4 linked regions of the Oreochromis niloticus genome follow. The protein of the gene in region 3 interacts with the protein of the main gene of each other region in a pairwise test. Links are inferred from orthologs where the notes say so. Each region holds a gene or a part of one and is shown on either strand. Other genes may lie near its edges. The genes, in order: junbb, cebpg, atf4a and coiled-coil domain-containing protein 106.

Region 1 (7,660 bases), on a different chromosome or scaffold from region 3:
TAAAAAATGCTGCAACAACTTTGAGGCTCGAGCGCCACCAATAGGTGGCTAGCGTACGAGTTTAAGAATCTTCATTTATTATATTAAAAAAATAACAATATTAAAAAGCACCACGATCACAGCCGTTTTATTACTGCTTCCTGTTATCACGCCAAGCTCTTGTTTAGCTTGTTTAGCTGATAAGAGATAAGAGGATCGCACTTTGCTCTCTTCCCGTTTAAACACTTTATTTTACAATTGCACAATAACCAAAAGGAAATTCCGCCACCCTCATGAAGTTCGCAAATCTTATCGATACAGTATATAGAGGGAGTGAGGAGGAACCTGTTTGCGTTACCTGGGCGGGGGTTCCCAGAAATCCTCCCCTGTGACGAAGTAGTCACCAGTATGCCCATATATGGATAGCCCCTGCGTAATTAGGAAAGGCCTACATACGCAAGCTACGCTCTGTGCGTAAAAACACCGCAACCAGAATGTGCTTGTGTAAGAGTTCCTCACTGGGAGCTATAGTAACTGTTATGGTTACAGTATGGTAGGAAAGAAAACCTCGTTTGCTCTTCCCACTCTTTCCCGGTGCTGTTGTTGTTGTTGTTATTGTTATTCTAAATTATGTGTAGATGTGTGAAAACAAAAACGCTCAACTCCACCATTTCATTTTTCATTTTTGAGACACTTTACTTAAATATACAACACAATTTTAAAAAAAAAGAGACACTGTAAACATTGGACATCATCAGTTTGTCTGGATCAACCGGACACATGAAATAATTTACACAATGAATAAATGCAGCCAACAAACAAAAAACTAAACAAAGGGGGAAAAGGAAGATGGTACAAAGTAAAACAAATTATCGTTCCCATTTTCTACCATTAGTAAACCCGACTTATGGGCATGTGCGCCCACTGTGTTGCTCAGTGTCTGCTCAGTCTGGATGCTGCCCTGGATTCTAGGGTTGAATGGTCCTGTGAGGGGTGTCCAGCATCCGGAAGTACCATTACAATCAGTCTTTTCACCCTAAAATAGCCTTCAGTATCGTCCACACCTAGCCCTCGGCCCTGTGATGCTGACTACACACGAGCCGGTAATTCCAGTGCTGCGCATGCAGAACATGACTCCAGTGTTATCACTTTTCAGTCATTTTTTTTTTTCTTCTTAGTAGTCTCTGGTATTTTTAAAACGCCTCCAGCTTGCTTGTGAGCATCAGCTGGCAGCCGCTGCTCACGTGTGTCAGGACCTTCTGTTTGAGCTGAGCTACCTGATCCCGGAGGACCGACGCCGTGTTGGAGAGCCCCGCGTTGTCGTTCTTCAAAACTTTCACCTTCTCCTCCAGCCGGGCGATGCGCTCGAGCTTGCGCCTCCGGCATTTGGTAGCGGCTAGTCGGTTCCTCAGCCTCTTGCGCTCCGCCTTGATCCTCTCCTGGGTCTCCAGGTCAATCGGGGACATCGGAGGCGAGCCGTCACTGCTGAGCAGGTCGGGCACGGTCTGAGGCTCCTCTTTCAGAGCGACCAGCCGCTGCGGATGGAGTCCGGAGACGGGGAGGGTGTGCTGGAAAGCGTGCGCGCCGTGCGTCGAGCTCTGCTGGTGGTGGCTCTGCTGGTGCGGCGGCAGGTAGCTGATGGTGGCTGTGGGGTAGCTGGATGAGGAAGATAGGTTCGTGTTCGGGCAGTAGGCGTTCAGTGTTGTGTAGATGGGGGGCTCGGGCTGCAAGGCGGAGCCGAAGACGCTAGAGGCCGCCGGCGAACACGTCGTAACTCCACCGGCTCCGATGGACACGTTAGGGGGGGGCATCTGGTTCATCTTGTGGAGCTCGTCCAGTGCTTTCACAAAACCCTCAGCGAAGCCCTCCTGCTCATCGGTGATGCCCCGGTTGTAGAAGTACTGGCCCGGGGTGGGAGTGGTGATCACACCGTTACTGTTTTGGATGATGAGCTTCTCGAGCTCTGGGGATGCGAGCTTCAGGGACCCCACGTCTTGCTGGCCCCCTTGGTACAGGTCTGTCTCGGCCCTCAGCTGGGATTTCAGGTTGCGATAGGGCTCTGTCAAGTTCAAATTCATATTCTGCTTTAGCAGTTTGCAGTCGTGCATTGCCGCGTCTGAGTGGCCGTAAGCCGACAGAAAAGAGTCGTCATGATAAAAAGGCTGTTCCATCTTTGTAGACATAAAGTCGTAGGAAAAAAGTGAGCTTACCGGCCGCTTACAGAAACACAGTCTCTGGGTAATCAACAAAAGTCAGTGTCAGCAGAGAGCATGCATCAAATCGGGCACTTGTAGTCTCTCTTAAACAGTGTTTCCAAATTTCAAAAAATGAAAATCACTCGAGGATGAAGAGCAAAGGAAACAAACTAGTGAAAGTCCAGCAAGAGTTCAGTATCAGCGGATTTCAAAAGTCTTTCCCGGAGCCTGTTTGCTGTGGTTTTTTCCTTCAAAATCCTGTGAAACAAAAACTTCTTTCTCGCAATTCCTATTTGCCGCTGTGTTTGTCTTGGTGCTTGCTGAGGTGTGTTCAGGCGGGTTCATGTGCGCCGTTTTATATAGGGTGCTTCGCTGTCATTGGACAGAGTGTGTGTCTCCGCGCCCATCGAGTGCGTCGTCAAGTGACGCTAATGCCGGGAAGAGGCGACTGTAAACAAGCCTGTAGGCAAGAGAGCGCTCCGAGGAGGGCTCGCAGCGGAGACCAATGTCAGAAATAGAAAAGTCCGACGTATTTATGCACGACTTTGCGCGTTTATGGGCTGAATAAATGGTTGTTGGGTAAGCGAGGAGGTGAGATTATTCCGTTAGAGCAAATCGCTGCTTTTCTAATTCATTTGTAGGTTCTTTAATGTGTCTTAAAACTGCGTTAAATGCGCCGGTTTGGGTTCATTTTATGTCATTATAGCTTCATGGGATGCCCATTAGTTCACGCGCAATCTGTTGTTGGATCCATTGGGTATGAAATATACAACAAACATCAGCTGTTTACTGCAATCGGTCCCATGGAGGAAGTCGAGACTCCTTATATGGGCACACTGACGTATAAGTTCCTCTTCTGGACAACCGGGAAGCCAGGCCCACTCCAGGCCTCATTCCAGCAGCATTCCTGCTCCTGTCTAAATCCATGTGGCTAGGCAAGTTAGGGACTTTCTGCCTCAGACAATAAGTTCAGTTCTTCTAGAAAAATAACATTCATTATTTTATATGAACCATCTTAAAACATGAAAATACACATCCTAACTTGTGTTAATATTCATATATTTTTTCGGGGGGGTTCACAGGTATTGACATGATATATTCAAATGACTTGACTGCTCCACTTCTAAGTGACGCCTGAAAGCACACAGCAGTGACACACATCAGCGGAGCAGAAAACTGTGATCAGCCACAGAGCAAACACTTCCTCCTGTAGTAATCTGATAGGATGCTGATGTTGGCCATGTCGCCTGAAGTAAACAGCTTTGATCATGAAATAGAGGAAACTGAGGAAATTCTGTCCAACACAGCCAAAGAGGGGGGATTACACCGGGCAAGATTCACAAATAGTGTTTTACCCTTTTGATGTCAGAAGGCCATTAAAAAAAAAACCAAACAAAAACACCCTTTTTTTCTTTCTTTTGTTTAGATTTACATGTAGAGTTACTGTGATTTGCTCGGTAGGATCGTAGCGTTGAGAGAAAAGAAATATGATTCCTCAATAGAGCACCTGTCTCAGTAGCGGAGAAGGAAACCTTTGTCTCCTGTTTGTACTTCTTCCAACGCCCACACAATCAAGCACCACTGCCTTCACTACTGTATCCCACATCCCTCTACACACAAATCAAGTCAGGTAGGATGCTTTGCAAAATCCTCTGGCTGTTCCTGAGGGATGAATCTCTGGTCTTGTGTACTGAAGACAAGGCCGTGGCAGAATGTATATTACAATAACAGAAGCATATAACAAAAACTGGCTCTCGAATCTTCATTAACATGTGCAGATGATCAGTGTGACAAACCGCCTATAACCCTATCAAATATTCACACCACCCACCATGCTCCAGATGTGTTCCCATTAAAAGGATTATAAAATAGATATTACTTAACAATTAATAAAGGCAGGTATTGTTACAGTGATTTTTATGCCTTTGCAGTGACAGCAACCATGACTGCAGGTGTTATGCTTCCAGATTATTGCTAAATCTGTAGACTTGTTCCACCCATTCTCGCGAACTTGTCTCCTGAAGTGCTTCGAGGAAGTTTCTTCAAACTTGGCACAAACATCCATTTGGACTCAAGGTTCACCTGATTTGAATTAGGCAATGTCGCAAAAACACAGTCTTAGCCAAAACTCAAGAATTCTAAGGCGAAATATTAAATGGCACACAAATGTCTGATGGGATGCAATTCTGACATTAATTTCTAAAAGGTCAGAGGTCAGCCTCAGTGTGAGATCATAATCTGGAATCTTTCAGTTTCCTGATTCAGGAACAGAAAGGGAGACTGCAACTACATTTCAGATTTGGTCAGATATTCAGACGTGGATGTGAAGTTTGGTGCCAAAAGTGTCAAATTCCTTTGAATATGTTACTGTTTCTATGTGCTTGGACAGACCTGAATTTAAACTGAAACTTGACTTGTTAAAAGAGACATACAACCACAACACACTTATTTTTTTTGCATTTTTACATCTACCAGGCAGCAACCTCAAGGGCTCAGAAAGAATGACAGTGCAGAAATGCAGTTCCTTTAATGGCCACTTGAGGCGCTTTCTAAAAGTGAGCCAATCTCCATAAACCTCCATGTTAAAATACCAACTTACAACATTAAAAACCATCGTGGTATAACAAAGGTCACTGGTCTTTATGGAGACTTTCCACATAAATAACATCTGTACTGTTAAGTTTTTTCATAACGCATCCATTTGCATTATGAAAGTTGTGACAGCTGCTAGCATGTGCAGCTTTAGCTAACAGCTTTCTTGTGTTCGCTGTTCGTGTCATTTTAAAGGAGTTTTAATGGAACTGTCTGATAAATAATATTGCCTTCTGTAAGGTAAGGACCGTGCAAGGTTTTGGTAAGAAAAATAATAGCATTTTAATTGTTCATATCAGCAGTTTGCTAACCAAGTGAGCTAGCTTTAGCAGCTCACGTTGAATTTGAGAAATGTTTATCTTGGGACGCACCCACTGTGCGTCACAAGGGTTTTTTTCAACCGTTTTTTTTTTCACTTGAAGTGACCGAATGTCATTGACTTTCTGTGGTCTCAGGTTTCCAGTTAGCTGCTAGTCACTTCCTGTGTGGACACACTCAGCTTTAAGCTGAGACTTTAACAGGCGGTCTAAAATCAGTGATCTGTGACTACAATCTGGAAAAGGTGGATGTTTCACCCATTTATCCATCGTAGTAAGATAGCTGTTTCTATTTATTGTTATTTAATAAATGTATAGATTTGTATCTATATAGAACAGTTTATGCCTCACATTAACACAAACCTTTATTATTGCTATTATCAACCATTTGCTTACTCTTACTCTTATCACTTTTCCCTCCATTCATTTGCTTCCGCTTATCCGCTTCAGGGTCACAGGGAGGCTGGAGCCTACTCCAGCTGTTAAAGGGAGAGAGGTAGGGTCCACCTGGAGAGGTCCCAAATCTGTCACAGGGCCAAAACAAAGACATAGACAACCATTCGCACTCACTTTCACACCTACAGCCCATTTTGAATCACCAGTTAACCTAACCCCATGCTTTTTTTTGGACTGTGAGTGGAAGCACCTGGAGACAGAACATCCAAACTCCCAGGGCCCCAGCCAGATGGTGGATTCAAACCCAGGACCTAATTGCTGTGAGGGGACGGCAAGCTAACCCCCGCTCTCAGTTTTCCATCTGTTAGTTAAAACAGAGTTAATTAGCCCAACTTTCCCACGAGCATGCCTGGAAAAGTATAAGTTTACACCTTGGTGGTTGAGGCTGTGCTGTATAACAAAAACAAAACCCAGCACAAGAATTACACAAGAGTACAGTCATATTTGTATATTTCAAAACAAGCACAGCCACACCTTTGATTATTTAATCTGTGACTTTCTCATCCGCAGAATCCACCTCTCAGTGTATTTCCGACCTGTGCCAGAGCAGGGGGAGGGGGGCTGAATCAAGCTTTCAACAGGTTTTCCCTTTGGGTATGAATAGTGACAGCCACCACCCTGTAATACTATGTATTTGCCTTTTAAAAACTCATTGTCAGTGGTGTTTAGGCCTAAAGCGGAGAGAGCTTTTAAACCTGTCACAGAAAGGAGAACGTTTACCGTTGACAGCCGTTTGCTATATTCTTGACATGACTGGGAAAGTTAACTGAAATCACCACTTTTAGGTTCTCCATGCCTGATTGTAATTACCTCATCTCAGGTAATTTGCTGGTATTCAGAACAACTATTTTAACTCTATGCCTTTTTGTGAGTATCCATGGGAATATGGCTAAACAGAGGAAAACAACAATTCCTGGCAGTGTCTTGCCTCCACTTTGCCACCTCCCTTATAAATTCTGTCCTCTGTGCAGCTGCCTGTTTCTGATGCTCTGCTCTTGCTTGGGTTTAGGTTTTATTCAGCACTGGGGTTTGAGGTTGACCACACTTCCAGTGACATTTTGGCACAGAACAACAGCACAGGGTCCAGAGCGGTGAGTGTTTACGGGAACACTCGTGAGGTGGCACCGTGCCATCTTGCCAAATGTTAGTCAAAAGCACTAATGTTTGCTAAGCAGTGGGAGAGACAAACGTGTGAATGTTGCGACAGATGTACGGCGTGTCTAATATGTGATTTTGCTTCTGCTCAGAACAATCTCTATTAATCACCACCTTCAATTATAAACAGAAGAGCTGCGAAATTTGGGTCGATTTAGCTCTAAGTGATGACGTGGTGATTAGTTGAAGGGAACCGGTTTCATCTTTTGCAAAAACAATAAAAATCGTTTTTAAAAAAACGTGTCCGACATCTTAGTCACATCTTGATTAGTCACATCTCTGTTTAGTCTGTTAAGATTGTGTGTGTACTCTAGTATAGAAATACCTTCAAGTTCTGCTTTTTTTTTGTACAGGAGTTCTACTAATACCCGAAACCAGCCCTAAGATTTAGTGTTCATATTTTTTTTATGCATATTTTTGGGCAAACTTTCAAAGAGTTCCAGGGCAGGACGAGCTGCTTGGCAACAGACTCAGTTTAAACAGTCAGGATCACATGGATGACTGCCAAAACCAACTGAGTGTTACCTGCTCGGGATCCTGGGTGAGTTTGGGAAAGGCAAAGCCTGAGGGTGGGAGGAAGCTGTTTACGGTAAGAATAAGAAAAGTGTATGTGTCTTAAGTATGTGTGTGTGTGTGTGTGTGTGTGAACAAGCACGTATATCACTCGGGGTGGAGTATGAGTGTGTGGTGTTTTTTTAACCACAATGTGAACATCTGCAAGAAGGGAGGATATAACAAAGACTAAAGTGTTCGCAGTGAAAATGTTCAGATTTGTGATTTTGATTCAAAGTCATTTTTGCATTTGAAATATTTTATTCAGTAGATGTGTATCTATGCAGATTTCTAGATATATTTTTGCATTATTAGTGCACAGACACATAGCATCATCAATTCTTACCTTGGATAATCCCTGTAATTTCTTCACCCTATAAACTCTGTCCTTCAACAGAGCAGGCTTTCACAATA
Region 2 (8,461 bases), on a different chromosome or scaffold from region 3:
CAATCAGCTGTGACGTGTATTAAAGATGTGCACACAGCCACTGTTTCCATTTCCAGTGAAATTAGCATTTTGTTCTGCTTCGTCAGGGCCGAGCGCTGCCGGCTTCAGCCGTTAAAGGCTTCGGGCAGCCACTGATATGGCAGGAGACCAAGGTTTAACATGCACCGCCTCTGCAGGAAAGACTCCGCGATTCAGACCCAAAAATTAAAAGTGTGCAACTCAAACATGTTAATAAAACCACCCAGTAAAGGATAATTGTGTCTGTGTGTGTGTGTCTGTAACCCTAACCCTCCCTCTGTTTTCACTCAGAGTCAGATATAAAAGTGTTTTTCCATTTCTGATCTTAAACAACACGAGTCATGAAAAAACAAAACAAACACACACACACACACACACACACACACACACAAACAGAACTGTGCTTAAAACATCAACATGTAGTGAATGTACTTAACAATAAAAACACTTTTGTTTTACAAACTCTTTGTAGAAGAACAGAAGAAAATACACATCCTGAAAAAGGGAATTTTAGCATTTACAAGTCCATCCTGTGGCTGCGGAGCACTCAGCGATGGCCACGGCCGTCTTCATCAGACTGAACCGGGGGTTTTCCGCCACCAGGAAGAGGAAATGCAGGAAATGTGTGGTGATTTTTTTTTTTTGTTCCAGAGAATCCTGACAGATGACGACTCAGTTTATACGAGTTCACATCGCATCACGTTCCCCCAAATCAATGAGTCAATCAGAGGAGCGATGACACAGCTGGAGGCTTCCAGCCAAACATCACAGACTAACTGGCTTTCAATTTTAAAAGTCACACTTCAGTGGATCTTTTCAATTTTTAAAAGATATTTCCAGAAAACATGTTTTAAGCTTTTTCTTCTAAAATGATTCCAGCTGTTCTGGGTAGACGGTGGGAACACTGGCGGTTATTTTGGCGAACTGGATGATGATGGTGTTGAATTATTAAGAGGTTAAATAAAAACTGATAATCAGAAAAAAAAAAAAAGCCATGAAGAAGAAGTGGGGCCTCGTTCCCAAAGGGAGAAGCTTCCACAAAAGCTGCAGATATTCAACATCCTGGTGGTTACCCTCCTCACTGCCCATTGGTGGAGGTACTGTTGGGGGCGGGACTGGAACCCTCCGCGCCTGCCGACGGCTGGACGTTGTCAGCCAGGTTGTGAGCGTGCTCCAGGAAGAGGTCTTTGAGCACGCTCAGCTCTTTGCTCAGCAGTTTAATCTTTGCCTCGAGCCGCTCGTTCTCCTCCTTCAGCTCGTTTACGCGCTGTTGCGTGTCCATCGCCTTCTGCTTGCTGCGCATGCGGCTCTTCTTCACTGCCAGGTTGTTGCGTTCGCGCCGCTGGCGGTACTCCTCGCTGTCCTTGTCTGCAGGGGGTTTCTTCATCTTGCTGGGGGCGAGGGCTTTGCCACCTCCGGTTGAAGGGTTTGCTGGGACGAGTTGTGGGACCTGCTGCAGTCCGGCTACGGCTGCCGGGAGGGACGAAGAAGCAGCGTGGGCCTGGCTCTGGATGACACTCACGCCGTTGTGGTCAGTTGCAGTTAGTTTCGGCTGCGACGGCCGGCTCATTTGGATGTGCTGCCAACAGGTGCTGATCTTTGACCAGAGTCTCCTCAGGTGTAGAGCTGAATAGAAGACTAGAAGCAAAGAAGATGGTCCTGCAGATGGACAGAGCCTGGAGGGTGAGACAGACCAGATTAATTGAGCACATCACACAGAATCAAAGCAAACACTAAGCTACAGACTAGCCATGGACAACACCACACATGTAAGAAGACAAAGAAGTCAGAGACAGCTGTGTGCAGATGTTTCTGTCCACGCGTTTGGAGTGGAGGCCTCAGCTGAACCACAGTACGTCCCTTTCACTGACTTTATTTGGTATTTTAATAAGTAAAGTACTGGTGACTTTTTATCATCTACATGAAAGAACAACACCATCTGATTAGGGTTAGGGTACCTAACGTCAGAGGTTCCGGTCTTTGCTGGCTTCCTGTGCGCTGACAGGAAGTGAAAAGCGTCCTGGTGGTCTTTGATATCATACAGCTGCATCTCGAGACTTGTGCGCATCATTTTGATCTGTTATTTTTTTCTCCACTCTTCTTCCTCTATGCAGTGAACCTCCTGTCGATCTCTTACTGTTCAAGCCCACTTTTTAACCAAATCAACATTCTACCTGAGCCTAACACATCACTCACCTGCAAGCATGTCTGTGCTGGTTGAATATCCCATATCAATTCACTAATCAGACGCCTACGCAAATGGGCACAAAGGCGGTATTATGGATTCTGCTTTGGCGTCTTTCGGTGGCTCCACCAGTGGATGCAGGCTCTGGTCCTGCTAAATATGAGCTTCACAGTGCAAACACTGAACATTTGTCAGACTTGATAGCTTTTTGATTTCACTCTGCAGCTCTGCGCCAGAAATGTTCAGGGATTTTTTAAATTTTATTTCTGCAACGAAAGGACTGACAAGCCATTTTAATGTGTTTCTATCATTTCTGGAAGGTGGAAGTCAGTCAGTCAGTCAAAGTTCCAGCTCTGAACATCATTTCCTCACTTTCCTAGCGTTCTTCTAGCTCCAGTTAGGAGGCTTCATCATCACCATCTTCTTCCTCCTACTCCATCACTGCGATACCATAATTGTTCAGATTGTTATTCCGCACGGCCAATTAGTAGCGCCGCTCTGATTGGCTGGGGCGTTGCTATGCAGCCAGTCAGCTGTGCGCAGCGGAAAGCGCTCCGGGTGAAACAGCGGAGAGGTTGCCTGTTGTTGCATCATCACGAGCGGCTCTCTTTGTGTGAAGACAGGGGAACTCCAGAGTCATGCGGGGCTACACACAAAACCACCGCTTTCTGGTGACTTCACCGACGTGTGACAAATATGAAAACACACGAAACAGATCAAAACAGGCGGACTGATCCGAAACACGTCGCTTTAAAGTACCCAAACTTTAATTTTCGAACACTTTGACAACTTTCTGTTCACTCGAAGCGACCAACAGGCAACTCACCGACTCACCACTGACCGTCGAGCTTTCCCGATCTGAGACAGGCGTCGATTTAAGCCTAGTTTGGCCCGAAACACGACAGCTTTCTTTTAACGAACGCGAACACTGCCTGTTTAGCCGGGCGCATAGCCAGCTAGCGGGTTAGCTCCTGTCGCTAACAGCCATCAGTTCACTGCCAGCTTCGCTGTTTCGAACCTACAGAGAAAGAAAACTACGATTTTACCTTCACTGGGAGGCGGCGGGCTCAACCGTCCGTCAAAAGATGAGAAAGTTTCCCTAGAAAACCGAAGTTTAATCCCGTCCGTATGAGCTCGGACTGTTTTTGTTTGTAACATGGAGAGCGACCGATTGCGAAATCTCTTTTACCATGTACGGCAATGTCCAGGATGAGCTAATCACAGGCGAGTAGGTGGCAGCGAGTGGGGCGCTTGGCCAATCACCGATGAGTGTGCGGCGGAGTGATGCAATGCTCTTTGTGATTGATTCGTGTTTGGACCAATGAGACGCTGCTATCTTCTCTCGGCGTTGTTTATGTAACCGAGGCTGGTCAGATGAGTTGAAACACGTATGACTTCATCTCTGAATGACGAGACTCACTCTCAAAGCGGCCGTACCTTCAGTAACGACGCTCCCGCTTCCTTCAGTCACTATAATAACTATTGTGATGTCCGTGTGTACGAAGAAACCCCTTAAAACAGCTGGAGAACATTCACAGGTGACACAAGCACTTAATGAAACCGCGGTCCTGCCAGGAACACACAAAAACAATGTAATTACTGTTTTAATAATAATAATGGATTGGATTTCATATAGCGCTTTTCAAGGCACCCAAAGCGCTTTTATTTATAATAATCGTGACCAGAGAATATAAATGAAGGGATGTATAGACAAAGACCCCGAGATGTCAGAGGTCACCTGGACCTGAGCCCCAAACAAACAAAAACAAAAGATCAACTTCAAAAGGTAAAAAAAAAAAAAAAAAAGACAAAAACCCCAAATATTAAAAAAGCGGGTGATAAAAGTGATAAAAAGAAGATACAAACCCACAACAAACAGACAAAAATTTATCCTGACAGCACTTTTCTCTCAGGCTGTGGTTACATGTGGTTTCTAGAGTTTCCAAAAGTGGAATGGGAGGCAGAGCCTACAGCTTCAGGCCTCTTCTGTGGAACATTAGGCTACGTTCACACTGCAGGTCTTAATGCTCAATTCCGATTTTTTGATCAAATCCGATTTTTTTGTCTGCTTGTTCACACTACACATAAAATGCGACATCAAACGCTCTCCAGTGTGAACGCTCAAAGCGGCCCGCATGCGCAAAAGAAGATGTCACACAACTCGCTCTGTTTAGACCCAGAGCAAACAATATTGTTTGACTGATGGCCCTTAATATAAAGACTTCGGACTTTACGTTTCCAGATTTTTGCTTTAAGTTATTTTGTTATTTACATAATAATGTAGATAACCTAATAATGATCCTTTTTGCTGTTTTAGAGGAGCGGTGCTTCAAAGGATAGTTGCAGATTTCTGTCAGAATCTGCAGAAAATACAGTAAAAATAAAATGTTCACATTTCTCCAACGTTGTCTTCCCAACAGTTTCACCGGATGGTAGGAAATCGTTCGCGATGTCCTATCGGGCGCTTCTCCGGCGCTGATAATTGGCGTCTGTCTTGTGTCAGTGACGTAAAAGACGGATTTAATGCGACTTGACCGTTCACACAGCAGTCGCTTTCTAAAACATCGGATACGTATCGGATTCAGTACCACATACGAAAGTGACCCAGATCGGATTTGAAAATATCGGATTTGTGCCGTTCACACTGTCAGACCAAGATCGGATACGGGTCGCATAGGGGCGAAAAAATCGGATTTGATGCGCTTTCGCCTGCAGTGTGAACGTAGCCTTAGATTGCAGTGCAACTTTCAGCTTTCACTTAACAAAACTTGTGCATTGACTGTCATTTTAATACATAGCTTCCCATTTCCAGAGGCTCCTAAGTGTAAATATTAGGATGGATTTTAATAACTGGACAAAAATCCTTTGCACCGGGTGGCTACCTAAAGTCTAGAAACCACGCCACAGTTCATCCTGCTGCTTATACTGGCAGCCACATCATGAATAAACACCCATGACCCGGTTCAACTGCAGCCATACATGCCCAGGCCATCATTCTTAAACAACCATCATCTGTCCCAAGATCTTTTTCAGGCTCTTTTAGATGTTTACTGACAGTCTGACCTGTTGTAAACTTTCTGTATTTCCATTTGCAAATGCATCATTTAATTATCAGTCTTCATTGTGACTCTGCCCCCTCCTTGTGAGCTTGACTGGGTCTGATGTTGTAAAGGTATTTTCTTAATCATGGAAATAATTCTGTCATCATGCACTGTAGGTGTTTTCTATGCTCTTTCAGATCTTTTGGTGTTGCTGAGCTGGTCAGTGCGTTCTTTCTTTTAAACAATGCACCAGATTTTTGATTTGGCCAATACCAAAGTCTTTGCTGTTTATTTGGGCTTTTCAGCGGAACGATGGCCTCCCTCACTTCCACTGAGATGCCACATTGAGAAGTCCAGCTATCAAATGCAATTTCAACTCTTGGACTTAACAACAGATTTTATATCTGACTATTTCACATGACATAAGATGACAACAGGCCTCATATGACCATGAAGCAGCTTGTCAGTCAATTGTCCTGTGAAAGTCAGTACTGTGCATAAAATGGCTGTAATTCCAGTACAGTTAGTTCAGTACTTTTGGTAAATCCCCCCAAATTAAAGCTGAAAGTCTGTGCTTCATTTTTTAAATTCACTGTTGTGGTGTACAGAGGCAAACAACCCCCCCAAAAAAACAGTCACTGTCCAACAACTTTTGGACTTAACTGTATAAATGAAATTGAGCTGGACTGAAAGCAGCCACAAAGACACACACAACATGAGGTTTGGTAATAGTGATGCCTGGTCACGTGACCAAACATTGCATTGCTCTCACTAGGCGCTGCATCCAAACTGTGCTGATGTCTGGAAATATGCTGTGAATGTTGGCCAGCTGTCCATGTGGAATTCGAAGCTGTCACTCATGACTCCAGTGCAGTGTTTGCTTTTTTGGTAAACTGCTTTCTCAGGTCTGATTGGTTAATGTCAACTTAAATTCAAATCACATTGCTTCTGGAAACAATGTGATTTTTAATTTTTTTTACTGTCCAACCACACTGTTGCTGCAGAAAATGTGTACAGGACCACTAATGCTGCAACACTGATAGCACTGGTGACAATGGTGTGATGTCATTGAGGTCAGGGCTGCCTCAGCTCAACAGAGAGTCACCAGTGCTGTTAAAATGAAAGTAAAGTCACTGAAAACAAATGAAGGCTGAATGCAGTATTAGGAATCGCTCGTGTGATCGAAGAGGTCAAAGGTCCACGTGCTGGCCTGATCTGAGGTACCCTCGCACCGTGCTGACAGCTGAGCTGCAGTGAAGCAAACAAAAGCTCTTCAAATATTTGTCTGAGCGTTTTTGTGTATTCTAGTTTGTGTTTAACATGCTGACTTTGAAGTTTAGGAACATCACACTTATTTTTTCCAGTTTTAAACTTTTTTAATTATTATATTGTTTCCTTAAAAACACATGTTCCTCCAGATCATTTCAAGGACCCTTGGTACTTCCTTCTGAAAGTCTCTGGCCTGAAGAGCTTCCCAGTGCAACAGAAAATGTTGTTCACATTTTCCCAGCTGAGTCCGTCAACACTAGTTTTAAAAGTCAGACCCTGAGGACCACTAAAGCTTCCTCAAGGTTGCTTAAAAATTCCTCAAATGAACCAAAGATGCCCCCCGAAGGATTCTCTATTCCAACATCCTCAATGTGAACCTCATTTATAAGCCACTGATTTTATTCTCAGTGCTACTGTTTCCAGCTGCCCTTTCCTAAATCACTTTTATGGCAGCAGTTACAAAAAGGACAGAAGTCGCGCTGGGCTGTCAGAAAGAAGCAGATTATTGTCTTCAAATGGAGGTCAAGCAAAAACCTGTAAAAATATACGCATGGAATAAAAATACAAAATAAACAAGCAGCTTTAAATCGCTCCCAACACGAAGATCTCTCTGTTTGCTGCTCACAGAGGGCGCTGCAGTCCTGCTCTTCAGTCCGCCGTCCCTGCCCCCACTGCTCCGCGCTGCTCACCCGTCCTCATCCAAGCAGATTCCCCAAGTCACATCTAACATTGTAAGCAGGTCATAATAAATATGCCTCAGTGTTGGATCTTCCTGACTTAGAATTTGGAAATAAAAATACATTACAATAAGAAAAGAAGTTATTTCTTGCAGGGACTTGACGGTATATATTCATATTATAATGAAGTAATGACAGGTTTTTGCATCAGTGCGCATTCTATTTAACATCAGACGTGTTCTAAGTCCAGAAGATGTTCACGACTTTTATAACTTGCACATAAAGTCTGTGCGTCCTGCTCTGATAGGTGCCGCTCCCTCCTTTCAGAGATAAAGTCTCCCGGTGTAGACTGCCCGGGGATTAAAGAAAAGAATTTAGTTCTTTTAAAACAGGTTTTCAAGCTGATCGTGTTACGCGCTGAACACCAGCGCGCTCGGTCTAGAAGAGCGTCTGAAATCCAGAGCATTTATTAATTTTTGTCAATATTTGTTTTTGTAAACATATATATATATATGTATATATATATATATATATATATATATATATATATATATATATATATTTAATGTGACTTTTGCGGACCGACTCTAACTGCTCCGGGTGGTTTCAGCGTGTCTTCACCAGCCTGAGCTTTGGCGCTGATGTGTGAGCAGAGCGCGCAGAGAGGAGCGCAGGACGCTGTGTGTGATAAAAGTTTGAGTCGAGTTTGACTCTGAAGCGTTCCCGTGCAGATAGCTGGCAAGACTGAGGGCTGTGTGTGCGCGCGCGCGGGCACGTGTGCCCGCCCACTCCCTCTCCCTCTCTGTATATAACAGCAGTTTGACAGCTCGGAGTTTACTGAGCAGGAGGAATCAGCCCAGCAGAGTTAAGCCTGAAGCTGCTTCATTCCGCTTCTTTCCGCGTACAAACGGAGCCACTGCAACCGTCACAGTCTCTCCGAGCTTTGGGTCAGCGCATGCTTGCAGCTGTGTAACCCCCTCTCACCTTAGTACCCGACTTTGTGCAACCTGGATTCCCGGAGCTCATCGCCATGCCTGCCCGGGTTTAGATTCTCAATGGAGCTCTCTAACCTGTACGAGGTCGCACCTCGACCCCTGATGAACAGCCTGAACCAGCAGCCCTCCTCCGGCTACAGAGACCCGGCAGATCTTGGCGGTGAGATCGGAGACAACGAGACCTCCATCGACCTGAGCGCCTACATCGACCCATCAGCGTTCAACGACGACTTCCTGGCTGACCTGTTCCACCACAGCTCCCGACAGGACAAGCTC
Region 3 (7,961 bases):
CCAGAGTCACTGTCGCATTCGCTTGGTGGAGAGGTTTTAAGAGCTTGATCGGGGAGAGATACAAGGGAGGGCTCTTCTTTGTTGGAGAGCACCACCACAAAGTGACCAGAGGTGGGGATGGAGAGCACAATGGGGGCCGACTGAACGCTTCCACTGGGGTCTGGGATGATGGTGAGGGATGTGGTCTGCTTGTCAGCATCCAGGACATCTACTTCGCTTCCCAGCTCCAATGTGTAGACTGGAGATGGGGGAGATGGAGAGGGAGGTTCAGATTTAACCTCATGAGCAGGAGCAACCTCCGTCTTCTTGACCTCAGGTGCCACAGGGAGGGAGGGCTCTAGAGGGGGACTGGGAATGTCGGGCACAGGCAAACTCAGCTCAAGGCTGCTGTGTGGGACGGGGATGGTTGTGTTAAAGGCATCTAGATCTAAATCCATGGAGGAGTCCAGGGAAGCCAGGAGATCTTCAGGGGAGCTGGGAGACTCATCAGAGGAGCAGGATCCAATGAAAGACTCCAGGTCAAATTCACTCAGGTCGATTTTCTCTGACATCCAGTCCATGCCGGCAAAAGCATCATCTGCTGACAGATATTATTCATTAATACTCGCAATAAACATTAAGAAATTTGGATGATTATTCTTACAGTGAATCATTTCTATGCAATACTCCATACAGCTAATTATTTGTTAAATACCAGGGTTGTGAATTGTACTGCATCAATTTTTACAGCATATTTAAAAAGCCGTATGACAATATCAACACTGTGGGTTATATTCATGTTACTACATATCACAGAAAAAGCAATGCACGGATGTAAATTACTGATGTGGTTACACGGTGGAAGCTGCTATTTAAAATCTTGACCCAAGATACAATATCCAAAAATATTACGATAGCTGCTGGCTGCAAGCATCAACAAAACATCAAGTGTTTATTTTTTTTTATATTGTCAGAAACATCACAAATTTCCTTGAACTATTGCGATGATGTTTTGAGACTTTATAACCCAACCCTATTCAACACATGACCTCAGGCACATATTTGATCTCTCCCTCGATTATGTGTCTGACGTTTACAAATACTCAAGTGAGACTAAATCCACAAAACAAGGAACTTCAACTGATGCCAGGAAGCACAAAGGGATAAATGTGTTATTGCACAATGACGTCTAACAAAACCAGTTTGAGCCGGTCTTTGCGGCACAACTCTGAGCCACACCCGCCACTCAAACCAATAAAAGTTTGTTGCCCTACAAACATCCAGGTTGCTCACCCACGGCCTTAACGTCAGCCCTCAGCCTGCAGGCAAACCTCAAATACTTAACTGACAGTGGGCCTCTCCTCTGAAATATTCACAGCACAACAAATGCTCCCAACTTTATAGTCTAATGAGAGCGGAAGATGTAGTTTGGTCCTAAACATACTCCAATTAGTAACCTTCCATCATTTCTTTTATTTGGTTTCTATTCAGTTCAACAACTTGTCAAATTATTTGCTTTTGAAAAATAATTGTTAAAATTTAGGACTTGCCCCCTGCTCATTAAACATGTATTTTAAGGCACTCACCTTTGCCATCATCTGCTCCAACATGGGCGTCGAGCAGGTCGCCGGCACCCAGCCAGGAGAGGGACAGCGAGTCCGCTCCGGCCTTGGTTCCCAGGAACGAGGAACAATGAGTGGGAGGAGGAGAGGGAGATGGGGAGGCCAAAGACAGCGGGGAGAAAGACATGGTCTGATAAGGGGACGAGGAGGATGGATAAGTGGACAAAGAAAGGGAGGGCGAAGCTGGCGCCTTCCCCTCTAGGGAGGAGGGAGAAAGAGCTTCTTCTTCATCTTGGTCCAGAAGGGGCCCCATGGGGTCAGCCATCAGAAAGGAGGGCCCTGAGAACAAAAGATCAGCCCGTCAACTTCTAATTTGGGGCATCCAATACATACAAATCTGTCATTCATCCAATAACTCACTAAAACATCTAACCCATCTACAGATAATGCCATGCTGACCATATGAAACTGTACTTCATTGGCTTTAGTATTGTTGGGAATGGTATTACCATTACCAAATGTTATGCAAACAAAGCGCCACATTCAGCAATGTTTGTACTAGTGCTTTGGCAATGTGTGTCATCACAACACACACCTAAGTACAGGGCCTCCACGTCCTCCAGGGCTAGCTGGGAGAGAGTCATGGCTGCTGCTGGTCAGTGGTAGCCGTGAAAAGGTGTACAAGAACAATGGTGAGTCGAGAGGTCCACGTATGCTGTCGACGGCAGCAAAGCTGAGGGTGGTTGCCGGGAGAGACCTGGTTGGAGGGAAGAAAACAGAAATCATGTTAATGAGAGAAAAATGAGGAATATAAGCAAATGTTAGTGTTGATTCATATGGAAACTAAAATGAAGTGACACATTTTATTGTCAGAAGTTGTGAAATGATATATTCAAACTTTATGAAAATCTGATGTCTGGCAGGGCCAAGTTTATTTGTAAATGCAAAGTTTCCCCAGTGCAGGTGTACTTCCTGAAACAAGCACATTTTTGACTGACAACCCTTGTGCAGACAATGTAGGCTTCTCTGGTAGTATGTACTAGGGTCATTAAAAGGAGTTGACATCCCTGTCATGGGGGAGGGGGGTGTCTAATTTTGGCTAATCCGTTCCCCTTGAGCGTCAAAGCTGTATTGATGGGAAACTCCGCCCTCCACCGGGGGGGATAACTTTGCCTAATTTGGTCATGCTTTAGCTGGTAACTCCACCCACGCCTATGAGTCATGGCGGAGATGTGGGAGGGCAAACCGCCATTTTCACAACAGAGCCATCTGCGCGAGGCGGGGAACGAGCTAAAAACCCACAGCGCGCGCCATTTTGGACGCCACGTTGCCAATGTGAAACGTATACAAAACACTAAAAATGTTTTTAGTACCACACTGACAACCGTGTCGCAGCCACTGAAGAAAATTAAAAATTAAAATGAGAAGTCTAAAATGTTTTCAGTGCCCAATCGACGGCTCGTTAGCATGATTCACAACACAAAGTAAGGCGCCGGCTCGGACTACTTCAGCTGGTATACTGTAATTTGACACCCTAGCTCTAAACAAGGAACTATGACTCAAAACACACTTAGCAAGTTTTTTTCACAAAAACAAATAGCCTTGATCAACAAGTTTAATAGCCAGTGACACATTCTAGTTGACAGATTAGTTACTACAAGAAGTGGCTATAATTTTTTTCTCTTTAGAAGACTGCAAAAATGTCGATAAAAAATTACTTACGCCATTTTGCCAGAAAAAGCCAGTGCACGTAGCCGTTGCACTGCCGGTTTGTTGCCGCTGCAAGGTTAGCTGCCGCACGCCTCTACACTGCCATTTTGGCCCGCTACAGCTTCTACGCGTAATGTGTGTTTACTTCAGGAGCTGTACGAACGAAGAACAGGTCGAGCCGTCGCGTGGGGGGTTATATATGGCCGAAGTACTGCTGCGTATATCGCTCCGCACCCAGCGCGAGGGCGTTTGTTCACTGTGAAACCAGCAGCGCGAGTGGGAGGTCTTCACAACAGTCAACAAAAGCGTGGCCACTCGACCATGCTGGTTAACTTAAACAAACGAACATTTTTTGCGAGTGGGATCCCTCCGCCCGACTGATGTTTGTAACTGGTTGGATGAATCGCATCAAAGTAGATCCACATGGATGCTGTGACGTAAAATATAGGTCAAATCCAGAATGTAAACATTGAGACGAGGCAGTATTTTATGGGCCTGGAGCTGTTTTATTGTTTGTAACAAAACCTTTCAAATCGCATTTTTGCCATAATATTCATTGTACTGGAGCGCAGGTGTCTATTGTTTTAACAGGTCGACGGTTAATTTAGATCACAGCGTGCCCCATTTTATATTTTATTCACATACAGACGGACATGATTCACTGCTCATGTCTAACAAATGTAGGGTCACACCCTTGTCATTTTAAGCAGTCTTTCTCTGGTCGAACAAGCCTGGTGACTATTATTTGGACTGAACAAGACTGTGCAGACTACAGAGCGAGGCCCACTTCATACATTTCATCATAATTATTTTGTTTCCACCCTACATGATGGTTTAATGTGGCTGGAATAATTTTGTAAAGGGAAAATATCATTTTAGATGACTGTCAAAGTAGTCAGTGAGGTAAATAAAATGCTGATTGTAGCTCAAATGCACTGTTTCTTTTTTCAAACCAAAGATGGTGTTGAAGCCAAATATTAGAGCAGCCCCCTAAAACCCAAAATTGGTGTCTGAATAAAATCTTCAGTTTTGTTTCTAGATACACTTGTTAGAGCCAGCCATGGTGTAATAAACAAGGAATGATAATAAGGCAAACATAGATAAAACAACCTCCATCCATAGTTGAAATAGGGGTGAAAGATCCCGATATAAGCTGCAGGACAGCGGATCTGAAAGTACACCTGGGTCTGGTTTGTGGTTCTCCAAAAACAGTTTCTCTTTCCAAGTTTTTGTTGTCGTTTTTATGTCACTGAGATTTTACCCCCACGATAGGTGAAGGATGTGAGACTGGTATCAGGAAGTAAAAGAGACCATTTCTGATCATGGCTATTTTTAACTATTCATGTTATGAGGGAGCCTTAACTATGCTGTTGCAAGGGATTCAATAAGACACTATTGGTTCTGAAGGTGAAATTAATTTGGACCCAAACTCTTTTTTTTTCAAGTGACAAATTTTTCACAACTCAAAGAAAATGATAATGATAGAGTGGAAATGTAAAAAAGTTTATAGCATAACTAGGTTAATCAGTCAAAAATTGAATGATAGAATGATAGGCAGAAATATTTGATTATACACTGAGAAAGGGTTTGACTGCATTTCTGTAAATTATCATATGGTTTGTATGACACACAGTCAGGTCTGGTGCCTGAGTAACTTTATGGAGAAGTAACATTTAAAATGTTTCATTTTAAGCTTCCAGTTAACAACCACTCACATTTTTGTGTAAATTGTTTTTAAATGCGACATGTATAACTATACCACATATAAAGTCAAGCTAGGAATGATAAAAGTCTATGTATTTTAAAAATGTGTACTCAGCATCAGCTGAAACTTTTTAAAAGAAGGACTACACTGCCCCCTGGTGGATTTTGTCGATCTTTAATCGGTTTATTTAGTAGTCTTTTTAAAAAACATGTCATTCGATTGCGTTTAACCCTAGAACACTATCGCTATAAATAGTAACACAATCACTAATGCCGGGTGATTTTTACCCGATATAATATAACCAATAAAAAGTAATCAAATATATCAAAATATGACAACACATGACAAATTAGAGTGGTCTTCTTTTACTTTCAACTGTGCCATGTCTAACAAAATGAAAAAAAAAAACAACCCTCCTAAAACAAAATAATGACTCTGGAAAGCTGGTCTTTGGTCCACCCATTCCTGGGAAATTTGAGACTTCCCTGGTGAAGGCACAGGCTCCTCGACACACAAACAGCTGCAGGAGAGAGAAATCATGTAAATGTATTTGCTCGGGTGTAAATCACCCAGCGATAGTGTTCTAGGGTTAACAATGCGTTTGCATAACACCTTATCTTAAGGTGTTAACTCATCTTAATAGGTGAAAACAGCTAAATTAAGGGAGGTTAACACAATCTCAGTTTTATACAGCATTAATAACCATAAACCATTTAAAAGAAACTGCTTGAAGTTACAATTCCTAAAGTTGCACTAAAAGTTTTGTTCTGTTTTCGAACCTGTTGCCAAAGAGGAAATATATGTTGATCAATAAACTTTCGTAAAACTGAAAATTAACATTAAAAGACAACCCCCAAACAAAAGATATTCAGGTGGAGAAAAATACCCTCCTAACAATACTTCTCAAACAGTTCTTTCATTTCGATGAACTCATCCAGTCGTTCCTGGAGATCCACCGCCAAGGAGCGGAGTTTCTTTGCCAACTTTGACTCAAAGCCCTTCTTCACCTTGGTTCCATCTTTTCCTTTGATGAAGTACATATCCATGCCGAGGGCAAAGCCTTCTATCATCCCAGATGGCTTGGAGTTTGCCTCCAAGACCTTGGCACATGGCCCTCCTTGACCAAAGAACTCCAGCACCTTGGAGGCCCTCTCTGACTTCACCTTGGTCCTCTCAAGCATGATGACACCATACTGCCTCAGCTGCTCTATGCCCTCATGGACATAAACCAGTTTCTCCTGAATGCCCTTACTGAGTGACTCGTAGTCAGTAAAGATCTTTTCAATTTTCTTCTGGTCCTGGTTGCAGTTCACCTGGAAAAACATGCTTCACAATCAGTTCAATACTAGAAATTCAGATAACTAGAGTGGGTAGTTTCCAGTTAGTACCCTTTTTTAAAAATTGTGATAACATAAAAACAGGGCTTTTGATCTCAGGAGAGTTATTACTGTAAAAGAAGACATTCAGCATTTTAGATTGAAGTCCTGGAACTCCAAATTAACAAAAGAACAAAAACAAAAGTGAACCAGAATAGATTTAAAAATGTATTTTCTCTTAAAAAGTTAGGAAAACCTATCAACCTACAAAAACCATGAACAAAGATGTTTTAAGGCGGTGCCTTAAAGACCATCACCTTATTTGCGATGGCTGCTGATGCACCAGTAACACCGCCGGCTGCAGCCACGCCGACCCCGACAGCAGTTAGTGCCAGCTGGATCTTTTTACTCACGTATTGACTTTTCGTAGGAGTTTGACAGACTCTCAGCATCCTAATTAAAGAGAAATGATTTAAAGTGTCTAAAACATGACAAAACAATCACCTAATATCAATTTAATGCTGTATTTATTTTAAGTAATTACCAGGGATTCATTTTCATCATCAAGCTGCATTTGATGGGGTTTAGGAGGCAGTGGAGGGCGTTCACCTTCATCCTTAAAACACTGATCCAGCATCTTAGAAAAAGAGAAACAATCCACGTTTGTTAGATGAACCTTAAACACGTTAATCCTGTTTGAACAGTGCACATATTTTATGTGTTATCTCACATGACAGAGAGTTTGATCAGAGACACCAGTTTCAGATTCTATGAATGCACTTCAACTGCTTTCAGATAAACTACATTTCTGTGACACATTAAAAGCATTCATTGTGTGAGTAGATGCTGAAAGAAAAAAAAAACACACTAGATATAGACCAGTGGTACCTTCATTTTTTCCACAAAAACTTCATTTCCTGTTGAACTCTTTCTAACAGTCCACTTCTTTGGTGGGACTGGTGGTGGACTCGAGCAGATGTCCTGAGTTTAAAATAGAAACAAACAAACAAAAAAAAACAAAACAATCCACCAAATAATTAAAAATGATTAGAATGCAACCATATATGTTTATATATAGCCACTGCTTAAATTTCTGAGCGTGTAGGCAACTTAACCCAAACCTCTCCAGATTTCGTGGGAGACAGGGGAGCACATTTTCCTGGCTCATCAGTCTTAGGACTGATTGGAAGGGAAATGTGTTTTCTTGGCAGGGGAGTCGGATGTGGTAAGGGAGTTGGAACCTTTGGCTGGAGAAAAGAGGGAGTATAATTGAAGGTGGTCATTGAAGATAGTTATGTAACACAGAAGAAGTTTATCAGAGTAGAACTGTGGTCTACAATTTCAATGGCCCCCTCCCTGAACGTATACTTTTAGAGACCATGAGTGCATGTTCATGATACAACATTGAGTCAAATCTAGTGATCTATATATTTTTACAGCGAAATTTGCCTCAAGATTTCTAAGGAACTACAAATCTCAACACATTATATTTCAAGTCAGAGTCAGCTTGCAGAGCTGAAATTCAAGACAACCAAACTGTTAATCAACCTGGTCAGGCCCGCCAAACAAGGCTGCTTGCATCTCTGAAGCTAACATGCCCATTGTGGACTGCTTTCGTTTTTGCTTTGAGTGCAAATCTAATCTAATTCAAAATTTTTCATGATTCTGGCAACTAAACCTTTGCAGTTC
Region 4 (7,582 bases), on a different chromosome or scaffold from region 3:
AAGGCAAATTTTAAATTTCTTGCTCCAATTATCATCTGTATGTACGGAGAAAACTGGGAGAGGGGTACAACAACAGCCATGTAAACTATGGTGGAGGCTCTGTCATGGTTTGGGACTACACTTCAGCCAGTCGTGTTGGAGCTCTTGTTAAAATCGATGGAATTATGAACTCGATGCAGTACGCTCTGGAAAGCATCTGATTGGAAGCAGCTTCATCATCATGACAGTAATTCCAAACACATGCAGTAAAAACATGGCTGGATAGAAAAATACATGGTGGAACATGGCTTGCGAGAGCCTGGACCTCAGCATTAGTGAAGCAGTGTGGGGTCATCAAAGAATTTAAAAAAAAAAAAAAAAAAAAAGGCAGCCAACATTCAAAGGAGAGCTTTGGAGGCCCTTTCAGAAGCCTTAATAACTACTCCTGAAGACTATTCTTCAACACAGTCTGAACTCTCGTAGAAGCTTTCTTGTAATTTGTCGTCATATAAGGTGGTCATACCAAATATTGACTTTGAAGCTTGTAGGCTTTATTGCCTTATATACAATATTTCCATGTATGTACATTTCAATAGATTGCTGCCCCTTTTTCCCATTTTCCGAAGAAAATATAAAGAAATTAGGGATGCAGACTACTGTGTGTATATTTTATTGATTATTTTTGTTCTACATACATTTTGTTTTATGACCAACCACTTTAGCTTCAATCTAACCAGTTTTCTCTCTCTCCACAGGCCAGCCCTTCCTGACACTCTCACCTCTCCAGATCTCCTCTCTCACTGTTATCTGTGGCCGTTTGTGGGTGGGCACAGGAGGTGGTGCCATTTTCTCCATCCCCTTGTCCATAAGTATGTTTAGCTTAAGAATGCCTGGAACTTAAAGTTATTTGGTCATAAATGGTCTCAGTGTACTATTAACCATATTACTAACTCTCTGCAGCTTCAGAGGATGTTTCCATCCCTTACTGCTCCACTGCATCTGCCCAGCTGTGTTACCATGGACATAGACAAGTCGTCAGATTCATCATTGCTGCACCCGGTAAGAGTTGGATAGCCATTACATGTAACTTCTTAACAATTAAGAGAGATGCTTCAGATTGCACATGCATGTTTTTTTTGTGTTTGAGTGACCACAAAAAATGTTCGTACCTGTCAGGTTGTTTGATCACCAATCCTGGCAGCAGCCATGTCACTACTGCTCAGCTTATCCTCAGTGGAGGAGAGGGCTACATCAACTTTCGAATTGGTGAGCTGAAGAATAATAAAACTGTACTTAAGTCCGTCTCATCTATTACATCATTTGTGCACTACTTGGACTATTTAGAGGCTGACAAAGTCCTCTTTGTTTCCAGGAGATGATGCAAGCGATGACTCGGAAGAGGTGTCCCAAGCCACGCCACAGCGATCTGAACGTAGTCACATGATCATCTGGCAAACTCCCACACCACCTGTGCCTAACCCTGCACTCTGAGCTTTTTCATCTCACACGTCCTTTTCCTTCAGCGCAGTGCTGCTGCCCAATCTAGAAGCCACGCCAACTAAATTAATTGCTGTACCTGAAGTTTGAACCACTGATGTCAGCAGCTGTGTGAGAGTGTGAGAGGGACTAATGCTAGAAGTTCTTCTGACTCAGTTTATCCCAACTTATCCCAGGTTTAAACCTGCCGGAATTCTGGCAGCTCTCTTGTTCCCTCAGCACCAGCACTCCATTGATGGAAAGGAGGTAACTGTTCCACGCTTCTCACCTATGATGAAGATGGAGCAGACTCAACAAAGCATTGAAACGGATCTTTCGTGGAACTAAATGAACCAACATCTTAGTGTGGTAGCAATAAAATACCATTTAAAGATATGATTCATAACAATTCATACTTGTTTACCTCATATATATTGTACATATCTTTTGATATCTAATTATCCTAATGGATCGTGAAACCTTCCCGTGTGCCTTCATCTCATTTTATATCACTGCTGTATAATTGGTCAGTAATTCAGCTCCCTGGTGGCTAATAGATCTTTACCTTTGCCCTAAAAATCAATGCAGTATTGCTGACTGTCAGCTGAATAATACATTTTTCTCTCACTTGGTGGGAAAAAAATGTAGAGAGCAGTCGTGCATGCATCAAAAACATTTAAGCTGGTGATGTGGCTTCTCTCGTAGCTGCTGTGTACATACTTTGTTGTTAATTGTGAACTGGAGACAGGATTTTGGTCTCACACCATAAACACAATTAGACATTTTATTGTTTTGTAAAGCTCCATCTTTTGTGTTGTATATTTTTGGTATTCCTGCCATGAGTGTTAACTCAATTTCTACCCCTGTCCACAGTGCTTGAGGTGTCTGTATTGAAAATATGTCCACTATCCCCTCGCTTAAAGGAACAACTTCAGAAGCTGTCGTTAAAAATTATTTATTTTCTCAATTGGCTATTTGCTTGCCGTCTTCCATTGGATGTTGTGCAATTCTTTTAATTTCAGTTATGTTTGGATTTCTGTTCTTTTTTTCATTGTAAAATAAGGGAGATAAAATCTTTCAAGTGTCCTTTGCAGTATTTATATGCAGTTTGTGCACACATGTTGATGTCGTAGCGGCTCTGTATCCTTCTTGAAAAGATTTGAAACTATGTTTTGACTCAACCTTGTGCAAATATGATTATTGTCATTAAAATGCCTTCAGCTGTTAATGTACAGTCCTTAGCTTTGAGTGATTTTGCTGCCATAATCTGGTCCAGCAATATGACACAAGTAAATGAATGAATAATTTTCAATTAGCACTGGGAGACAATGTTGCAGATTCATCTCTTTAATCTCTATAAATTATTCCTTTTATATATTAGGTAAAGATTAAAGAAATTATCATAGTTTTCCTTATAGAAAACAGCATAACAAATCTTTTTTTTTTTTTTTTAAGTAAATGAGGTGGTTTCAGCAAAGGAAGTGTTTGTAAAGAGAACGACAAACAGTAATGACACTCCTTTGCCTCAGGCAGTCTGGCCTGCTGCCTAAAAAAGGACAGCTCAAGTCAGTTAGTCTTTGGTCCAGTGAGGCCTCTCTACCTACGTCGGACTGCTTTGGGTCCTGGGCAGCCGTATCCTGCGACTCAGGTTGCGGGCAAGTCTGTCCACAGCTCCACCCACAGCTCCACCAAGCTCTATTTTGGAGGTTAGACCCTCAATGTTTCCACTGTACCACATGACCCAGCCTGCTAGGGAAAACAGCACCAGCAGAGCTCCCGAGTACACCAGCAGATCCCCAAAGTCTTGGCCTTTGATCTCCAGTGGGGCAAAGACCCCCAGCAGCAGGGATATCACACCCAGCAGGTCCATCAGCACAGCAAACACCAGAGCCACCTTACAGTGGGACAAGCCATCATACTTCGGTGCCATTACTGCACTGAAAGAAAGAGGGAGGGAAGCCTGTTCCTTTAACATATCAGCTTTTATATCTTTTGACTCCATAGTTAAAAATATATACATAAAATATTTAAACAAAGTCATATTTACAACATATCCCTGATTTTCACACATCTCTACCTAAAAAGAATTTTAAAAGAAGCTAACAATATTAAAAAAATGTATATATATAAAAATAATTTGAAAAAATGGGAGTAATGCTGATAGCACTGTTTATACCGGCCATGCTACACTTATAACACCTGTGGATGCGCGTTTAACGCCCTTTACAAACAGATTTTATAGTTTACATGAGCTAAAACAACATTTTACTAAATAAAAAGCACAAAAAACAAAACAGAACACTTACCTCCTTCTTACGTTGTTGAGTACTTAAAATTCAAATGTTTCTATTGGAAACTGCGCTTTTGTTGTCCTTCCGCATACAGTTTGTCAGAAGCGACCAGTCGACAAAGCTGAAACCTGACACCTCGTCACCTGTTCAACCTGTCCTGTAGTTTTCCTACACCGGAGAAAAAACAATGAAATGTTTCGAAACAAGTGAGTGGAAAAGTTAGTTTAAAAGTGAGAAATTTCCCAAATATCTGGAAACAATATATATTTTATATTAATATACCTAAACGTTTACTCATATATTTAACTACACGCACGCAAATGCCGTTATTAAAAAAACGACCAAAACATTTTTTTAAATAAAAGTATCTGCAGCGGGCGGTCATCCGGAAGTGACGTAGGAGTCTCAGTAGAAAAAAAACCCCGATAATTGTTATTGTTAGCTTGTTAGCTAGCCGACGAACTGGTGAAATGGAGATATGACGGAGTTATAACGTCTTATTACATGTGCAAGACTAAGTTATTACAAACATAAAGTGGTATGTAACAGTTTCTGCAGATGATATTCGTAACTCGGGGATTTTAACAATGTGAGAGTGAACTCATTAAACTTGAGGGTGCAGAAAGAAAGGGATTGTAATTTTATATTGTAGCTAATTTTTTGTGCTAATATTACAGGACGCTAACATAGGGCTCTCTTCTGAGCGCCGTAGCAGGGCGCTACAAACTTATATTTGAGTAATACAATCAGTTTCACTGTTTTAGCTTCTAATTGCATGGGAGAGAGCTGTGTGATAAAATTAGCTATGCTTTGTAGGCTCACTGCGTATGCATAAAGCACAACACCCCCACGTTGTGAGAGGTTTCCGGTGAGCTGTAGCTGTTTAGATAAATGTGAGCACATCATCACTAAATGTAAGAAAGTCACTGAAGACACCTTTTAAACTGTGCACTAATCAAAGGTTTGTCTGTGGTGTGAGATGGAGGACGGAAACAGGAATGATGCTGCGTCCACATCCAAGAGCCACGCAGGCTCACTCCACCTGCAGAGTAAGATTTCGAAGTGGTCCCAGCACATAAGATCGTCCTGTCTTTGGGTCAAGCATGATAATTAATTGCTGTTGTCTCTTCTCAGCGCCAAAAAATGAGGACGCCTATGAAATTTCTATCCCCTATGAGGAGGGCAACTTTGAGCAGCAGGGATTTTTTAACCAGAGTGATCAAAATTTTGATGGTGAACATCAGCATCAATACTTTAAATCTACTCTACAATAACTTAATTCCATACACACAATCTCTTGATGTGCATTATTAGTTATTGGCCAGACTAACTATACCATTGGTACTCTTCAGAGTCACCGTCATCTGCTGGACCATCTCCAGTCAACAATTCCTACATGGTGATCACCAACCTGCGGACCCAGCTGCAGATCTCTCTGGAGAAAAACTCTTGGCTGCAGAAAAGAATTGAGGACTTGGAAGAGGAGAGGGACTTCCTCCGTTGCCAGCTGGACCGCTTCATCTTTTCCACAAAGAGCCAAGGACAGGAGCAGAGTCAGAGCCAATACAGTAATGGTGAGGACAGGGGGCAGGTGTGAGTTAATAACATGTCCAACAGTTTCACCAGTGGTTAATCCATGTAGGGGACTGGCAGCTATCCTATCTGTCACTGGGGGAGAAGATGGGTTCATTAATGTTACATGGTTAATGAGAAACAGATTTTTTAGCAAGTCTATTAGAATCGAAAATAATTTTTTATCTCTTGCTATTTGTTTCTCTTAAGGATATGAATCAAGACGATTTAACTGGAGGGCAAGAAGAGAGGAAGATCGTCCTGCTGGTAAAAATTTGAAAAGTCATAATTAGATATACCCAAACAGCCTGTTAATGTTATACTTTATTTCATATATTTTAGCTTAGCTTGCAGATTCTCAGATTTCCTTCTCTTTATAGAACAACAGAAGACCGACTCTCAGCATTTCCCCTCACGTCACTTTATGCAGCGAAGGCCTGGTCCTCCAACTATGGTGACTTCAAAAAACCACGTGTCCAGTCCATTGACCAATCAGCTTGCATCTATGAATGCTCTCTTCAACTCCACACAATCCCAAGCCATTTTGCAAGGCCATAGCCATAGTACTTCCAGTACCACAGCCAGTGGCAGCAGTGGCAACAGTAGCAGTGCTGCAAGGTCATCCATGAATGAAATGAGTGGGCACAGCAACGTAGGTCCAGGTAATACACATGATACGGCATAAAGCTTTGCATCACCATAATTAACTGAATGCAATCAGTGCTTTTAATATGTTGTCTTTTAACTATTGTGTTTAGTTAAATAGAACATTTTTGTCTCGTTAGATTCCATTTCACTACTGGGAGAATCAGATGAGTATCTTGAGCAGGATGGCTACATTGAGGAGGAGGAGGAAATGATATCAGGGGAAGATGTGATGTCAGACGCCATTAACAGCAACAGACACCAGTTAAAAAGAAGGCGGGTCTTCCGACCTCCAAGAGAACGACAAAGAGGTGAGGAGAGGAAAATCTCAACATTTAAGTGTCCTTAATACTGACGGTATCTAAAAGCTGGACATAGCTTTTGGGTGTCATTGACTGATTAGCAAAACATAATGACAGAGCAGAGAAGGAGCAAACTAACTGAAACCAAGAGGCGATTATAACAACAGAACACACAACATGAACCACAACAAATCACAAAACTGATAGCGAATCACAAAAGGCCTGGGTCCAAGACAAGGGACCACGCTAGTGGGTGTCTTAAACCTGCATTCTTTCTAATGACCAGCAGGCTGCAATTCCTAGTTGAAAAAAATTTTAACCCATAAAAAGAATATACTTGATTTCTGATGAGTTGATAATTTCAATTGTTAGTTTCTAATCTTGTTAAATACAGCATTAGGTTAATTATGTAAAATGTGATCCCACTTAAAATACAATAGATGACAAAATGTAGGTATGATTTAGTGTGTGGATGCCTTTTAACATGCAAGTCGCTGCCTGTGCTATGAGTGTGCAGTGCCCTCTCTTTCTCAGTCAGATTTGTGATATCTGGCCACAAAAATGACAAGTTAATGCTTAAAAACAGCATTTCCGTCTTTTACATACTATGGTCATGAGTTGCTCATGAGATTGTAGCTGACTCACCTGTGTGTTTTTCTTCTTCAGTGAAAGATGCTGCTGGAGTGCTTTTCCGTTACAAGAAGATCCTACTTACATACCAGCGACTAAAAAATATGTCCAAAGCCTTCCAAATTCATGGCGTTGACCGCAACACAGTGGCTTCTACCACGCCCATTGCTGAGCTGCTGCTAGTCGCCCCAGAGAAGGTGGCAGAGGTGGGGGAGTTTGACCCATCCAAGGAGAAGCTGCTGGATTATGCCCGGCGCTGCTACACTGCCCTGGATGAAGAGACACTTAACAGAGTCCAAGCCCTGAAGAAGAATAACCTGCTTCTGCCCATCTCCTACAGGTTCAGACACTAAGGAAAGAAAGAGAGAATAATGGGCGATCTCCCTAAACAATAAATGTGGTTTGAGTAGTAAAAAGAAAGGCAGTTGGGTTCTGCTGCAGCAGGCTAGCTCACCCCCAAGAAACAATATTCAGATCATTTTATTGTTATTATTTATTATTATTTTGCTGTCTCAGCAATCTGGTTCTGGCCCCTTCACATGTTACTTTTACAAACATCCTACACGTTTGTTGTTTGTCCTTCGACAAATCTTCACTGCAGTGGGTATTAAGGATGTGGGGGTGCCTGCTGCAGACAGAAAGAAAAAAAACAAGCTTCTGTTGTTGAGGCCAGGATTCAGGTATGTC

The links.
Region 1: the proteins of atf4a (region 3) and junbb interact in binary tests that used the Homo sapiens proteins (3 or more experiments, as listed by UniProt). The link is inferred for Oreochromis niloticus from reciprocal best matches to the Homo sapiens genes ATF4 and JUNB.
Region 2: the proteins of atf4a (region 3) and cebpg interact in binary tests that used the Homo sapiens proteins (3 or more experiments, as listed by UniProt). The link is inferred for Oreochromis niloticus from reciprocal best matches to the Homo sapiens genes ATF4 and CEBPG.
Region 4: the proteins of atf4a (region 3) and coiled-coil domain-containing protein 106 interact in binary tests that used the Homo sapiens proteins (3 or more experiments, as listed by UniProt). The link is inferred for Oreochromis niloticus from reciprocal best matches to the Homo sapiens genes ATF4 and CCDC106.

Annotation. Positions count from the first base shown.
Region 1 is NC_031969.2:8,275,851-8,283,510, reverse strand, and holds junbb (junB proto-oncogene, AP-1 transcription factor subunit b), read right to left. Parts: upstream 2,518-7,660; 5' UTR 2,163-2,517; coding exon 1,173-2,162; 3' UTR 650-1,172; downstream 1-649. UniProt on the Homo sapiens protein: Transcription factor involved in regulating gene activity following the primary growth factor response. Binds to the DNA sequence 5'-TGA[GC]TCA-3'.
Region 2 is NC_031965.2:37,665,278-37,673,738, forward strand, and holds the start of cebpg (CCAAT/enhancer-binding protein gamma), read right to left. Parts: upstream 3,411-8,461; 5' UTR 3,250-3,410; intron 1,695-3,249; 5' UTR 1,589-1,694; coding exon 1,097-1,588; 3' UTR 1-1,096. Other genes in the region: cebpa (CCAAT/enhancer-binding protein alpha), read left to right, coding at 8,246-8,461. UniProt on the Homo sapiens protein: Transcription factor that binds to the promoter and the enhancer regions of target genes. Binds to the enhancer element PRE-I (positive regulatory element-I) of the IL-4 gene. Binds to the promoter and the enhancer of the immunoglobulin heavy chain.
Region 3 is NC_031971.2:9,244,943-9,252,903, reverse strand, and holds the start of atf4a (cyclic AMP-dependent transcription factor ATF-4), read right to left. Parts: upstream 3,446-7,961; 5' UTR 3,264-3,445; intron 2,299-3,263; 5' UTR 2,186-2,298; coding exon 2,137-2,185; intron 1,881-2,136; coding exon 1,566-1,880; intron 581-1,565; coding exon 1-580. Other genes in the region: uncharacterized protein LOC106097202, read right to left, coding at 5,847-6,269, 6,590-6,725, 6,817-6,887. UniProt on the Homo sapiens protein: Transcription factor that binds the cAMP response element (CRE) (consensus: 5'-GTGACGT[AC][AG]-3') and displays two biological functions, as regulator of metabolic and redox processes under normal cellular conditions, and as master transcription factor during integrated stress response (ISR).
Region 4 is NC_031976.2:22,629,455-22,637,036, reverse strand, and holds the start of coiled-coil domain-containing protein 106, read left to right. Parts: upstream 1-4,151; 5' UTR 4,152-4,284; intron 4,285-4,707; exon of another isoform or gene 4,708-4,725; coding exon 4,726-4,795; intron 4,796-4,880; coding exon 4,881-4,979; intron 4,980-5,098; coding exon 5,099-5,320; exon of another isoform or gene 5,321-5,414; intron 5,415-5,528; coding exon 5,529-5,585; intron 5,586-5,698; coding exon 5,699-5,980; intron 5,981-6,103; coding exon 6,104-6,274; intron 6,275-6,910; exon of another isoform or gene 6,911-6,931; coding exon 6,932-7,248; 3' UTR 7,249-7,582. Other genes in the region: si:dkey-17m8.1 (C-Jun-amino-terminal kinase-interacting protein 4), read left to right, coding at 735-848, 940-1,038, 1,156-1,245, 1,352-1,470. UniProt on the Homo sapiens protein: Promotes the degradation of p53/TP53 protein and inhibits its transactivity.